Linked DNA regions of Xenopus tropicalis. The protein of the gene in region 2 interacts with the protein of the main gene of each other region in a pairwise test. Links are inferred from orthologs where the notes say so. Each region holds a gene or a part of one and is shown on either strand. Other genes may lie near its edges. The genes, in order: mad2l1bp and inpp5k.

What was found.
Region 1: the proteins of inpp5k (region 2) and mad2l1bp interact in binary tests that used the Homo sapiens proteins (3 or more experiments, as listed by UniProt). The link is inferred for Xenopus tropicalis from reciprocal best matches to the Homo sapiens genes INPP5K and MAD2L1BP.

The regions. Positions count from the first base shown.
Region 1 is NC_030681.2:2,407,794-2,414,143, forward strand, and holds the end of mad2l1bp (MAD2L1-binding protein), read right to left. Parts: intron 4,199-6,350; 5' UTR 4,198-4,198; coding exon 3,967-4,197; intron 2,891-3,966; coding exon 2,378-2,890; 3' UTR 573-2,377; downstream 1-572. UniProt on the Homo sapiens protein: May function to silence the spindle checkpoint and allow mitosis to proceed through anaphase by binding MAD2L1 after it has become dissociated from the MAD2L1-CDC20 complex.
Region 2 is NC_030678.2:45,867,231-45,874,752, forward strand, and holds part of inpp5k (inositol polyphosphate 5-phosphatase K), read left to right. Parts: intron 1-557; 5' UTR 558-665; intron 666-1,019; 5' UTR 1,020-1,112; intron 1,113-1,833; 5' UTR 1,834-1,909; coding exon 1,910-1,942; intron 1,943-2,036; coding exon 2,037-2,153; intron 2,154-3,494; coding exon 3,495-3,670; intron 3,671-4,505; coding exon 4,506-4,617; intron 4,618-6,717; coding exon 6,718-6,827; intron 6,828-7,522. UniProt on the Homo sapiens protein: Inositol 5-phosphatase which acts on inositol 1,4,5-trisphosphate, inositol 1,3,4,5-tetrakisphosphate, phosphatidylinositol 4,5-bisphosphate and phosphatidylinositol 3,4,5-trisphosphate.

The DNA.
Region 1 (6,350 bases), on a different chromosome or scaffold from region 2:
CTATGGCACATAGGGATTCCCCTGTACTAAGCACAATTCAGCAGGAACAGCCCCCTAAGTTTGCTCATAGCCTGTACAGAGAGATACCATAAAACTATGGCACATAGGGATTCCCCTGTACTAAGCACAATTCAGCAGGAACAGCCCCCTAAGTTTGCTCATAGCCTGTACAGAGAGATACCATAAAACTATGGCACATAGGGATTCCCCTGTACTAAGCACAATTCAGCAGGAACAGCCCCCTAAGTTTGCTCATAGCCTGTACAGAGAGATACCATAAAACTATGGCACATAGGGATTCCCCTGTACTAAGCACAATTCAGCAGGAACAGCCCCCTAAGTTTGCTCATAGCCTGTACAGAGAGATACCATAAAACTATGGCACATAGGGATTCCCCTGTACTAAGCACAATTCAGCAGGAACAGCCCCCTAAGTTTGCTCATAGCCTGTACAGAGAGATACCCTAAAACTATGGCACATAGGGATTCCCCTGTACTAAGCACAATTCAGCAGGAACAGCCCCCTAAGTTTGCTCATAGCCTGTACAGAGAGATACCATAAAACAGGAGGATTTGGATAAAAACCTTTATTTGAGGGTGGGTCCCAAAGTATGGGGGTGCAGAGGAGGTAGTTTCCTAGAAGAAGCCAATGCCATAGGTCAGACAGAGAAAATGAAATAGTGCAGCCTCTATACACAGACACAGGGTTAAACTGTGCGTCTCTGACAGACAGACAGACAGACAGAATGTTGGGAAATTCCTTGGGCTGCTAAATATTAGCAAGTTTAGCACCTGTCACTTTAATAAAAATATAGATTCTCTTTAGTTTCATAATAATAAAAAAAAGTAAAAACTTTACATTAAAAACCAAGGAGAGAAAGTGCAACCTGTGCGGTTCAGGCCTTAGTGACCCCAGCGCTGCCCCCGGCACGTCAGATAGTGACCCCCGCAGCAGCACCCTGGGGGTATCTATGTATAAGGCACAGGATTTACTCCATTCCCGACTACTCCCCTTTGGGGGGCAGTGAGATTATTGGGGTTCATATGCATTCAGGAGTCAGGCCGACCCAGTCAGGATAAAGTTTCAGGCTATTGTCATACAGAGAGTTATAGTTGTGCCTCTCCTTAGGCTTGGGGTGGGGGGGCTCGAGCTTCCTTGTACAGAGGGAAAGTTTCAGGCTATTGTCATACAGAGAGTTATAGTTGTGCCTCTCCTTAGGCTTGGGGTGGGGGGGCTCGAGCTTCCTTGTACAGAGGGAAAGTTTCAGGCTATTGCCATACAGAGAGAGTTATAGTTGTGCCTCTCCTTAGGCTTGGGGTGGGGGGGCTCGAGCTTCCTTGTACAGAGGGAAAGTTTCAGGCTATTGCCATACAGAGAGTTATAGTTGTGCCTCTCCTTAGGCTTGGGGTGGGGGGGCTCGAGCTTCCTTGTACAGAGGGAAAGTTTCAGGCTATTGCCATACAGAGAGAGTTATAGTTGTGCCTCTCCTTAGGCTTGGGGTGGGGGGGCTCGAGCTTCCTTGTACAGAGGGAAAGTTTCAGGCTATTGCCATACAGAGAGTTATAGTTGTGCCTCTCCTTAGGCTTGGGGTGGGGGGGCTCGAGCTTCCTTGTACAGAGGGAAAGTTTCACCCTATTGCCATACAGGGAGTTATAGTTGTGCCTCTCCTTGGGGTGGGGGGGCTCGAGCTTCCTTGTACAGAGGGAAAGTTTCACCCTATTGCCATACAGGGAGTTATAGTTGTGCCTCTCCTTGGGGTGGGGGGGCTCGAGCTTCCTTGTACAGAGGGAAAGTTTCAGGCTATTGCCATACAGGGAGTTATAGTTGTGCCTCTCCTTAGGCTTGGGGTGGGGGGGCTCGAGCTTCCTTGTACAGAGGGAAAGTTTCACCCTATTGCCATACAGAGAGTTATAGTTGTGCCTCTCCTTAGGCTTGGGGTGGGGGGGCTCGAGCTTCCTTGTACAGAAGGAAAGTTTCACCCTATTGCCATACAGAGAGTTATAGTTGTGCCTCTCCTTAGGCTTGGGGTGGGGGGGCTCGAGCTTCGTTGTACAGAGGGAAAGTTTCAGGCTATTGCCATACAGGGAGTTATAGTTGTGCCTCTCCTTGGGGTGGGGGGGGCTGAGTTTCAGGCAGTGATACAGACACAGGATGTGCCCTGGCAGAATGGCAGCCCATACTCTGGGGCCCCCTGTATTGCACCTACCCCCGGGGGGCACTTCCTGTCCCCTATCTGCCCCATTACTAACCCTATGCAGCAGCAGGGGTACCCCCACCCGCACACAGGTTCCTCACAGAATACAAGGTTTCGCCTACAGCAGCACCATTTTCCTGCCAGAACCGCAACACTTGGTCCAAAGATAAAAACCCAGACGTTCAGTTCTGAAAGCCCTTGACTGTAACGGGAGCCTGGAACCAGATATAATCCCCGCTGGTGGGTTCCGGGGCCGGAGAGTCCGTACATGCCAGTCTGACAGTCAGGGTGTGGCCCCTGCTGGGCACCTTATAATTCAGCTTGGGCTTGAACCAGTCTGTGCCGCACTGGCGCTGCCCCTGCACCATCACCACCAGACTCAGTACAGACGTAGCGCGCAGGTCGCTGAATGGGTCGGCCAGGAACAGGGCATGGAACAGCTGGCGCAGACACGGCCGGGTACCCAGGCTCTGCTCCCCGTTACCCACGCTCACCCCCGCCATGTCGATATCGTACAGCTCTTTGGGATTCACGGGGTTCCCCCCCAGCAGCAGCAGAACGCGGGGTACAGGGGTGATGGCGAACAGAGTTTCAAGCTGACCCAGTAGCTCCTCCAGGTCCGACAGAGTCTGTTTGCACTGGCGGTTCCCCAGCTCCTCGGTCCAAGAGCGTTTCTTGGCAGCATCTTCACTTCCCTGGGGAGAGATAAACACAGAGCTAAACTACAACTGGAACCGCCGAACTAACACGGGTGCTGCTACACGGGTGCTGCTACACGGGTGCTGCTACACGGGTGCTGCTACACGGGTGCTGCTACACGGGTGCTGCTACACGGGTGCTGCTACACGGGTGCTGCTACTTGCAGTTCAACAACCGAGGGCCCCAGTGCACTCATTTATGCTGCCAGTGACTGTGCCAAGCGTGCCCATGTTATCTGCTGAGCTGGGCAAAGACACAGAGACAGACACAGAGACTGAACACATATTGGTTCTGCTCAGTCAAGGGGCTGACCCAGTTACACAGTACCACTATATACAGCGACCGCAATGATCTGTCGCTCTACTTACTGCTGATATTTACATTGGAACAATAAAGGGAAGCTAAACCCTGCGGCACAGCGCGGCTCAACCCAACGTTACTCAGCTGTTGCCGGACTACAAATCCCAGAATAATGTAACATATAATGAAGGGTGAGGCATGCTGGGAGCTGTAGTCCAGCAACATCAGGGTTGTATTCTTAAAGCAATACTGCCCAATAAAACTTTCCCCCATTAAAATGCAAGAAATCCCCCAATGAGAATCCCAGCTGATGTGAGTAAATCCGGCTCCCTGTTCTCTGTTCCTGCAATTGGAGTTGGGAGCAATAAGCACAGTTTCCCAGCACTGAACAAGTCTGTCCCTTTATCCCCATGTCTGATTCCTGTGCCATATAATGACGGGAAAATGCCATCATTATCTCTATATGTAAGGTACCAGCAAGGGGCCGGACACAGGGAATCAGCATTCTCATTGGTCACTTCTCTTGCACTTATAATCACATGTTGCTCAGTAGAAGGCTCATTGGGGAATTTCCTTGCATCTAGAATTACGTTTTTTGGCAACTTCTATAGCAACACTAGGGGGCGCCGTGGGGCAGCGTTATGGTTGGGTTTATATCCCCTTTAAATGCTCCATTGGATAAAAGACCAATCAGTTATGGCTAAGTGAGGTCACACACAGCCGCCCAACCTGAGCCAGCGGCCTATGCACTAAGGCCTGAGCCAATGATTACCTGCGCTTTCCCGCTGAACCCCAGCAGCTGCTCATACGGGAGGGGCAGTTGGTGGCGCTGGTGCAGAATGTGCTTTAGCAGCTCGCAGGTGAATCGGCAGCAGCTTTCCCGCGTTACCAGCCCAGGGAATACCACCGATACAGTGAGATCTTCCTGAGAGCAGCGCCGCTGGGAGGAAAGGAGTCGGCCCTGAGCTCTCCGGGGAGGCGGATCTTGGCCACATTGCGCCATCCTGTGATAAAGGGTAAGTAGGCACCATAAGTACTCGTGTCACTGTAACCCCCCAGTAATACCCCAGTCAGTACTTTCTGCCCTTCTCACACACAGATGCACCTCTCATTCAATAAGACCAGGCAGTAACCCATGGCAACCAAAGCACCACTTCCACTTTTCTACCTAAAAAAATGAAAAAGCTGATCACTCATCCATCTCCCAGCAGCCCCTGCCCCCCACACACACACAGCCTCCATCTCCCAGCAGCCCCTGCCCCCCACACACACACAGCCTCCATCTCCCAGCAGCCCCTGCCCGCACACACACAGCCTCCATCTCCCAGCAGCCCCTGCCCCCCACACACAGCCTCCTCTCTCCAGCAGTCCCCCTGCCCCCCACACACACACAGCCTCCATCTCCCAGCAGCCCTGCCCCACCCACACACACAACAGCCTCCATCTCCAGCAGCCCCTGCCCCCACAACACACACAGCCTCCATCTCCAGCAGCCCTGCCACCACACACACAGCCTCCACTCTCCCAGCAGCCCCTGCCTCACCCACACACAGTTGCACAGCCTCCATCCCCCAGCAGCCCCTGCCCCACACACACACAGACCGGTCCATCTCCAGCAGCCCTGCGGCCGCCACACACACAGCCTCCAATCTCCCAGCGCCCCTGCCCCACACAACACAGCCCTCCATCTCCACAGCAGCCCTGCTCCCCACAACACAGCCTCCATCTCCAGCAGCCCCTGCCCCACATCAGCACAGGCCGTCCATCTCCCAGCAGCCCTGGGCCCCCCACACACAACAGCAGCCTCCATCTCCCAGCAGCCGCCTGCCCCCACACACACAGCCTCCATCTCCAAGCAGCAAGCACCCTGCCCCACACACACACACAGCCTCCATCTCCCCACAGCCCCTGCCCCCACACACAGCCTCCATCTCCCGCAGCAGCCCCTGCCCCCCACACACACAGCCTCAATCTGCCCAGCAGCCCCTGCCCCCCACACACACAGCCTCCATCTCCCAGCAGCCCCTGCCCCGCCCCAAACACACACACACACCTCCATCTCCACAGCCCTGCTCACCCACACACAACAGCCTCCAATCTCCACGCAGCCCCTGCCCCATACAACACAAGCGCACAACCTCCCTCTCCCCAGCAGCCCTGCCCCCCATACACACACACAAGCCTCCCTCTCCCAGCCAGGCCCTGCCCATACCACACAGCCCTCCCTCTCCAGCAGCCCTGCCCCCCTAACACACAGCCTCGCATCCTCCCAGCAGCCCCTGCCCCACACCACACCAGCCTCCAATCTCCCAGCAGCCCCTGCCCCCATACACACACACAGCCTGCCCTCTCCCAGCAGCCCCTGCCCCCCATACATACACACACACGCCTCCCTCTCCCAGCAGATCCCTGCCTCCCATACACCACAGCCTCCATCTCAGCAGCCCCCTGCCCCACTTCACTAAATCACACAGCCTCCCTTCACCAGCAGCGCCCTTGCCCCACAACACAGCCTCCCTCTCCCCACACCCCTGCCCCCCATACAACACACACGCCTCCCTCTCGCCAGCAGCGCCTGCCCCACTCACACAGCCTCCCTCTCCCAGAGCCCTTGCCCACTCACCACACAGCCTCCATCTCCAGCAGCCCCTCCCCTCACACACATGCAGCCTCCCTCTCCGCAGCAGCCCCTGCCCCACTCACACACACAGCTCCCTCTCCACAGCCCTGCCCCCACACACAGCCTCCCTCTCCCAGTGCAGCCCCTGCCCCCCATACACAACAGCACACAGCCTCCCTCTCCCAGCAGCCCCTGCCCCCCATACACACACAGCCTCCCTCTCCCAGCAGCCCCTGCCCCCATACACACACAGCCTCCCCTCCCCAGCAGCCCCTGCCCCCCATACACACACAGCCTCCCTCTCCCAGCAGCCCCTGCCCCACTCACACACACAGCCTCCCTCTCCCAGCAGCCTCCCCCCCATACACACAGCCTCCTCTCCCAGCAGCCCCTGCCTCCCCATACACACAGCCTCCATCTCCAGCAGGCCCTGCCCCACACCAGCCTCCCTCTCCCAGCAACCCCTGCCCACACACACACACAGCCTCCCCTCTCCCAGCAGCCCCTGCCCCCCATACACACAGCCTCCCTCTCCC
Region 2 (7,522 bases):
CTTAGAATGCCACTGTCTACTATACCTCCAAGTCATTTTTGGGTGAATGCCACTTTTAATAAACACTGTACCACAAATTACAGAAGTAGAAATAATGCAAATAAATGTATCATCTTGACCAGAGTCATGTACCTACAGGGTGAGGATAAAACTCTATGGGAAATGGGATTGAGAGATAGGAGTGTTGTTTAGCTGAGAACAGCACATTACAGGGTAGTGTGTGTTTTTTATTTATACACAATAAACTGTTCAGGCTGTCTTTAGTTTGTGAGACTCTGCTGCATTACAGAATGAGCTGAAGTTGTATACAGTTGTATTAATTGGCCTCAATGGCCTTTTTTTTATAGTGCTGTGACTTACCAGCACCTGATGGAAAGGGCTACGCTGAGAGGTTACATTTGTCATGAAATTAAGTTAGTGTTTTTTGTTTTTAATCATTGGTGCATATATTTTATCAAATACTGCTGACCTTTGCCTTGCCCTGCAACACCCATTGACTCCTCTTCCATCCACATTAATCCTATCTGAAATCTTACTGGCTGTGGTTTCTTTTTTAGGGTTCACTTGATTACGTGGAATGTGGCTACACAATCCCCACCTCGAGATGTCAGCTCTCTGCTTCAATTCGATATCCCAGGTTCAGATATTGATATGTACATCATTGGGTAAGTACAAACAGGTAGCTTAGAAATACAAACTTTTCATGTTTTAAATGATTCTGATGGCTTCCATGTATGTTAAGTCTGTCTAGCTGGTGCCCCCAAGCCTGCACTGGGGCCCCACAGACTTCTTTGTTTGACAAAATGTTGTGATTATTATTAGACTCTTTGTAACACATGAAATAGCCTGCCCACTATCTTTTAAGAAAAATATAAACTGTACATTTTGAAAATGATAGATCAAATATCAGTCACTTGGTGCGGGTCACAAAGTATGAAATTTAGCAGCAACAGAGCTAGTGTCAGCTAGGTTATAGTTACAGCATGTCCTTTGTGATATTTTTCCATGTGTTCCTGCAGGCATACCCTTTCTTATCCCTTACTATCTGCATACAAATGGAACAGTCCAAACAGAGGACCTAGCGCTGTAGACAACTCATTCTAATAAAAAAGGTGCAATAATTACCTGTTTAAATAGAGCAATAATGGTGAGACAGTTGTCTAAATAGTATGCTCCATCTATTGCATCCATGCATTCTCTCACTCCATCTGCATTTAGGATATATTTTATGTTTTCAACCTTAAATTTATATATCTTGGAATGAATCTCAGATGGAATTAGTCACCTACTTAGACTGTCATCAGTGTGGGTAAAAGAGTATAAAGAGCCCCCATTTTCCAAGTGACCAAAAAAGGGTGTAAAATCAGGGAAATGCATTTTGTATTGGCAGGCCCACTATAAAAGGTGTAAAGTTGTGGAATAATTATAATCCAGGGTATGTAAAATTGAGGTTTCCCTTTATTTGCTTACAAGTGAAGTCTAGGAGACTACGAATGATTCGCGAGTTTTTCGTATCCATTACGAAAGTTGCGTATAGCGTCGCATGTTTAACGCTACGGTTTCGTAAAGGATAGGAAAACTATTGATCCGAAAAATTCGTAAAGAATCCGAAAAAATCGCAAAACATACGAAAAAAATCGCAAAGTACCGATCATTACGAAAAAAACGCAATCGGACTCCATTCGACCCGTTCGTGGGTAAGTAAATCAGCCCCTAGGAAACTAAATGTTCTGTAAAAAAGGTATATCATGTGATGTCATACTCGGCACCAGGGCTTGTATTTCAGTCAGTATTGGCATGATAGGATGATTTTTTTTTTTTAATATTTTTCAGCTTGCAAGAAGTAAATTCAAAAGTTCTGAATTTTCTATCAGATTTAGCATTTGATGATCCATGGAGTATCTATCTTATGGATATTTTAGCTCCCCTCGGCTATGTCAAGGTAGTATATTTATGGTTATGGCATGTTTATGTAAATCACTACATGGATTTGCTGAAAGGTAAAATGTAATGTTTCTTTGGCTTGTTTTTTTTAGCTCTCCTCTATCCGACTGCAGGGCCTCCTTCTCCTGACCTTTGTAAAGCATCAACATATTCCCTTCATACAGGACATTCGTACCAATTACATTCGCACTGGCTTGTTTGGCTACTGGGTAAGCATTCTTGATGGTCAGAACAGAAAGAATTTTCTGGGATTTTACTTGCATTTTGAGATATATATGTGTGTGTGTACTAGACCTGCTAGGATTGTAGTTGAATACCAACTAGAAGTGTGCTGAAGATACCTTCATTTGATATTTTTCCAACTCTTTTTTCATCTAGTGGATAAAATAGTAGAGAGACACACAGAGCAGTAGTCATAACTAGTCGGTGGCATAACTGTAGAGGAAGCAGACCCTGCGGGGGAGCAGTGGGGCTCAGACTACTGGGTCTGCTTTCTCTATAGCAGTGAAGAACTGCCTTCTCCCACCCCTCTCCTGATAACGAGCAGGGAAAGAAGGGGGCGGAAGTGCATGTTTTGTTAGTACTTAAAGGAGACATTTTATATAATATTCATATTCAGTTATACTTATTCATCCTCCCTTTAAAATGTGTAATGATGCAGAAAAATTGACTATGTTTTGAAAGCATTTTACCTCCTGTGACCACAGGAAGTGGTCACAGCACTGATTGACAGGCTGAACTCAGCAGTAGCAGGGGAAGCCCCTCCCAATTGCCTCCCTCTGTCTCTGTTCCCTAACTACATAATTTTGGTGGTGCTGCTGCCAGATCAGTAAGCTAAAACAATATACTTTAAATGCATAAAGCAATAGATCAGAGGGGGTGGGGAACAAGCAGAGAGATATAAATGATCAGAGAGAGGGGGAAACGAGCAGAGAGAGATGAACAATCAGAGGGGGGGGGCAAGCAGAGAAAGGTGAACGATCAGAGGAGGGGGCGAGCAGAGAGAGAAATAAACAATCAGAGGGGGGTAACAAGCACTACTTGGGAATGGCAGCCCCCCCGACTTACAATGTCCACCCACAACGAGCCCTGCACATTGGCTATTGTGGCACCTTATTCAAGTGCCAACCCTCTCCCTTATGTTTGTCCCAAGCAATCAACGGTCTCACCACAGTGGCAGTCCTGTTGTAGCAATAGACCGCTCCTCCTAGTCACCCCTAATCCCCACTATGCTGGATCTCAGCTCTCTCCCCACTTAAAGATGCATTCCGCCTCTTCCTTTCTGTGTGTTTCACCAAAGTGACTCACTAGTTGGTGTACTGGAGATTGTTAGAGATTTTTGGAGATTGTGCAGTGTTTCTTATAATAGTTAAAGTGTCTTTTATGTAATATACGTTGCTGCTATACATTTCTCCCTTAAAAGGGCTTCATTAGGCAAAAATATTGACAGTTAAAAATTTTGCTTGTTTGAATAAAATTTTCAGTGTCAATATTTTATTTTAACATAAAGAAGGCATACATCTTTCATACTCTGCTTTCTCCCATGAAAGGGAAACAAAGGGGGCGTTATAGTCCGTATGTCGGTGTATGGGCACATGGTTTGCTTCATGAACTGCCATTTGCCAGCACACATGGAAAACACCAACCAGAGGCTCGATGATTTTGAAAGGATGCTGGACACTCAGCAATTTGATGACGATAATACTGGAAATATTCTAGACCATGAGTAAGTTCTGGTAAAGAAATGAATAAAGTTAAGTGCAGTGTGTTCTCCAGGTCTAGTAACCTATAGCAACCAATCAACAGGGAACTTTTATTAATCTGCTGTTTGAAATAGAAAGCACTGGGTTAAAAGGGACCTGTCACCATAAGAGATAATTCCAAGTTCTTTTCTATTGTGCTAGTCGGGCAAAATGAACTTTACCTACACTATGTAAAATATATAAACTTTGTTTCTTTCAGTCTTGAAAATCGCAATTACAGCAAGCAGCCTTTAGATTATCTAAAAATCTTGTTTATGCACCAGAATGCAGCACCTGATGTTCATGCACAGGCTACACAAGTATAGACAGTGTAGAGGGAGGGGCAATAAGAGGAGTGTAGTGACATCTAGGAAGTGCTGAATAGAAAATGAAAGTAACTGCCTGCCCTACACAAAGCATAGAGGTGGGCAAGTAATATGTGATTGACAGATTTTTAAATCATTTTATAACAGGTATAAATGTTGTAATACAAAAAAAATTTTGGGTTTTATGTTTAATTTGAAAAGGATTTTAATTATACAGCTTTTTATGTCTGGGTGACAGGTCCCCTTTAATAAACTTGGGGCTGATTTGTTGTAAATTGTGGTTTCTCCAGTAATGCGGTTTTAGTATAGGCTTAGGCATCTTTCTATCCCACTAGCAACTTTTTAAAAAAATGTATTTTTTGTGATAGCGTTTGTGTATTACTAAGCCCTAGATGTATTAACTGTATCAATATGTTATTTCCAACGATGAGAAGTGCTTCTTGGACAGGGGCAAATTCTAATGGCATTTATGTTTGTTTATGTTACTCTAAAGTCTCGTGTTTTGCTTTGGAGACCTAAACTTCCGGATTACAGACTTTGGGATCCACTTTATTAGAGAAGCGATAAACAGTAATAAATACAACCTGCTGTGGGAGAAAGACCAGGTATGCTAACTTACAGACCGCTCGTCTAATTTCACTGGTGTCTAGCATTTAATCATGCTTAATTTTTTGTGTCGACTTCCTAATTCTTTTTGTGTAATAAGCTCAGTTTCAATTAAGAAACTTTGTTTTTATAAATGTGCATTTATTGTCACACAACAGTATAAACAAAAGTATAGTCATACACACAAAATGGGATACTGTGCCTCAGTAGGAAAATCATTTTCAGCTCTCTAAGGCTACTGCCACACCATGTGTATGGCGTATATTTTGGGCAAGCCGAAAAACGCTTGCCGAAAATTTGCGCCATATGCTCCTACCTGTGCCTGCACCCGAATGTATGGAATACGCTTGGGTGCAGGCACATATAGCTGAAATCCACATCAAAACGCAATGCAAAGTGTTGCGTTTTTTATGCATATTTCGGCTACATGTGCCTGCACCTGACTTTATTCCATTCATTCGGGTGCAGGCACAGGTAGGAGCTTATGGCGCATATTTTCGGCAAGCGTTTTTCGGCATGGTGTGGCAGTAGCCTAATCTTCTTAACAATATTATAAATAAGTTGAATTGAACCCAACAAACTTATATTTGAGAAAAATTTAAAAATTGCATCAGTTGTAAATAAAAAAAAAAATTGTGTATGTGAATAGAATTTTCACCAATGTGAAGTTACTTCTCATACTCATGTGTGCTCTCCTTTTAGTAAATTGTTATTGTTGTGGCAAATTTTCAATAAATATGGTCCCATGGAGAAAGACATTTGTTAATTAAAGGAGTTATTCACCTTTGTAGTACATTCACAAATTTAACATTAATAGAGCCATCTTTGCTTTATACACAGTTAACAAAAAATGTGCAGCTGAAGAGATATTCACCTCAGAATCATCCTTCTGCTGATCCGTCAATTCTGCACAGACCCTGTGCTGGAGGGTTGTGGGGAGGGGCAGTGAACCCCTAAACACTACAGCCGCTTGTTTTTCTTCCTGATGTTACGCATAGTACTGGCAGCAGACTTAATTTGTACTGAGTACTGCAAACCTAACATAACATTATATTAGATTTGTGATATGCTGAGTCTGTTTGCCTATGCCTTTGCAACCAATGACTTTTCAATTTATGCAACTGGTTAGAGTGCACAAGTAGCCAGTGAATTGGTCCAGAAGGAAAAAAGTAATGGCAAAGCCTGAATGTGATGTTGTAAGCATATAGGAAGTTCTTAGTGTGCCAGGTTCAAAATAGGCCATTCCCATCCCTTACAAAAACTGATCAGAGAGACAGAAAAGGACTGATTTAACAGGTATAAAAGTAGTTTTTACAGTGGCCTTTACTTGTTTTTACACGCTGAGTGCATTGTTAATAAAATTTGGACATTGAAGGTGAACAACCCCTTTAATTAAGAAATTACTAATGACTCTGTATTTTGCAGCATACACATAAGGTTTGAGTTCAAATTGGAGAGCATTGTATTTGTAGAGATGAGAATTATGTTTATGCTTTTATATTACTGGTCTGAATGTGGAATGCACACTCCTTTAAATGCATCTGTGGTGCTTTATTAGAAAGGTCTATGTAAGTACAGCCATAAGCACTCAAAGAAACGCTGCACTTTATCGAAAGAAACATAGAGTTCTCTGTCAAAAGATTTGTTGTGTCTGGTTTCCTGTGCCAGAGACACGCAGCTCTCTCCTCTCTCCCCTCTCCTGCTCCCCCCTCCCTCAAGAATGCTATGAACTCACTTATGAATGTGGATCTGAGCCAATCAGCAGGAAGCTTCCTCATAGTCTAACTAACTGAGCATGTGCACCGGTCTGGGTCTCAGTGCAGGAGCGAGGCATTATGGGAACTTTCTTTACACAGCTCAGCGTTTTTTCTTCCTGTTTGGCTTCTGATCATCTGAACAGGTGAAATATGGGGAGACTTAAGGGCACTATTGAGAGAACTGAAGGTATGCCTGCAGCTTGAGATTAACTCTTTATGGTTGCAAATTCATTATAGCCTGTTCTTTGAAATTTGGTACCCAGTCATGTAATAACTCCTCCAAAACATCATTTCAATACTCTTTAATATGGTTTGTGCTTTGTTTTTTCTTCCAATTAACAGTTAAATATTGCTAAGAAGAAAGAACCTTTCCTGCAAGGATTTCTGGAAGGACCACTAAAGTTTAAACCCACGTATAAGTTTGACCAGAATTCTGATGTATATGATACCAGGTACAAACACATATCCCAATGTAAGACAGTATGGCCTTCACCCCGTTGTGCTTTATATTCATCTCTTTGCTTTGTTTCCAGATGGAGAAAGTCACTGTTTGGACTTAAGTAAGATTAAAAAATATCCCTTGTCTCAAACTAAAACCAGTAGTAGACTATACTAAATGAGTTATCAGTAGAAATACTCAAATGTAATGCAGTATTCCTACATGATTTCTCTAGAAAACCTAATAACATCATGTCAAACCTGTTGCCTTAGTTTGCTGGCTCAAATATGCACAAACTAAGAGCGAAATACTTCAGCTTGCTAAATATCTCCAGGACTGAAACATTTGGAGTGTTGTCCATATTAACCCACACCTAAATAGATGGTATCCCCATATAATCTTATGATACAGCCGGAAAGCTATCATGATCTGTGCTTTTATTATTTGTTACTACTATACAAATTATTATTTTTCATATTATTTGTGAATCAGCATTTGGATGAACGTATTTAATTTTTTGGGAAGAGGCATTAGTCATTTAGAACTGAGTTAAGAGATAATTTTACTCTGCTTTCTAGTGGATGGGACCTGTTTGTGGTGGTCGCTACAAAAAATAAACTCTAAATATTGTAAAAGCATAGAAGAAAGTTATCAAAATGTTATTGTATGGTTTTATTGGGTATTTGATATAAAATTTAAAATGACACA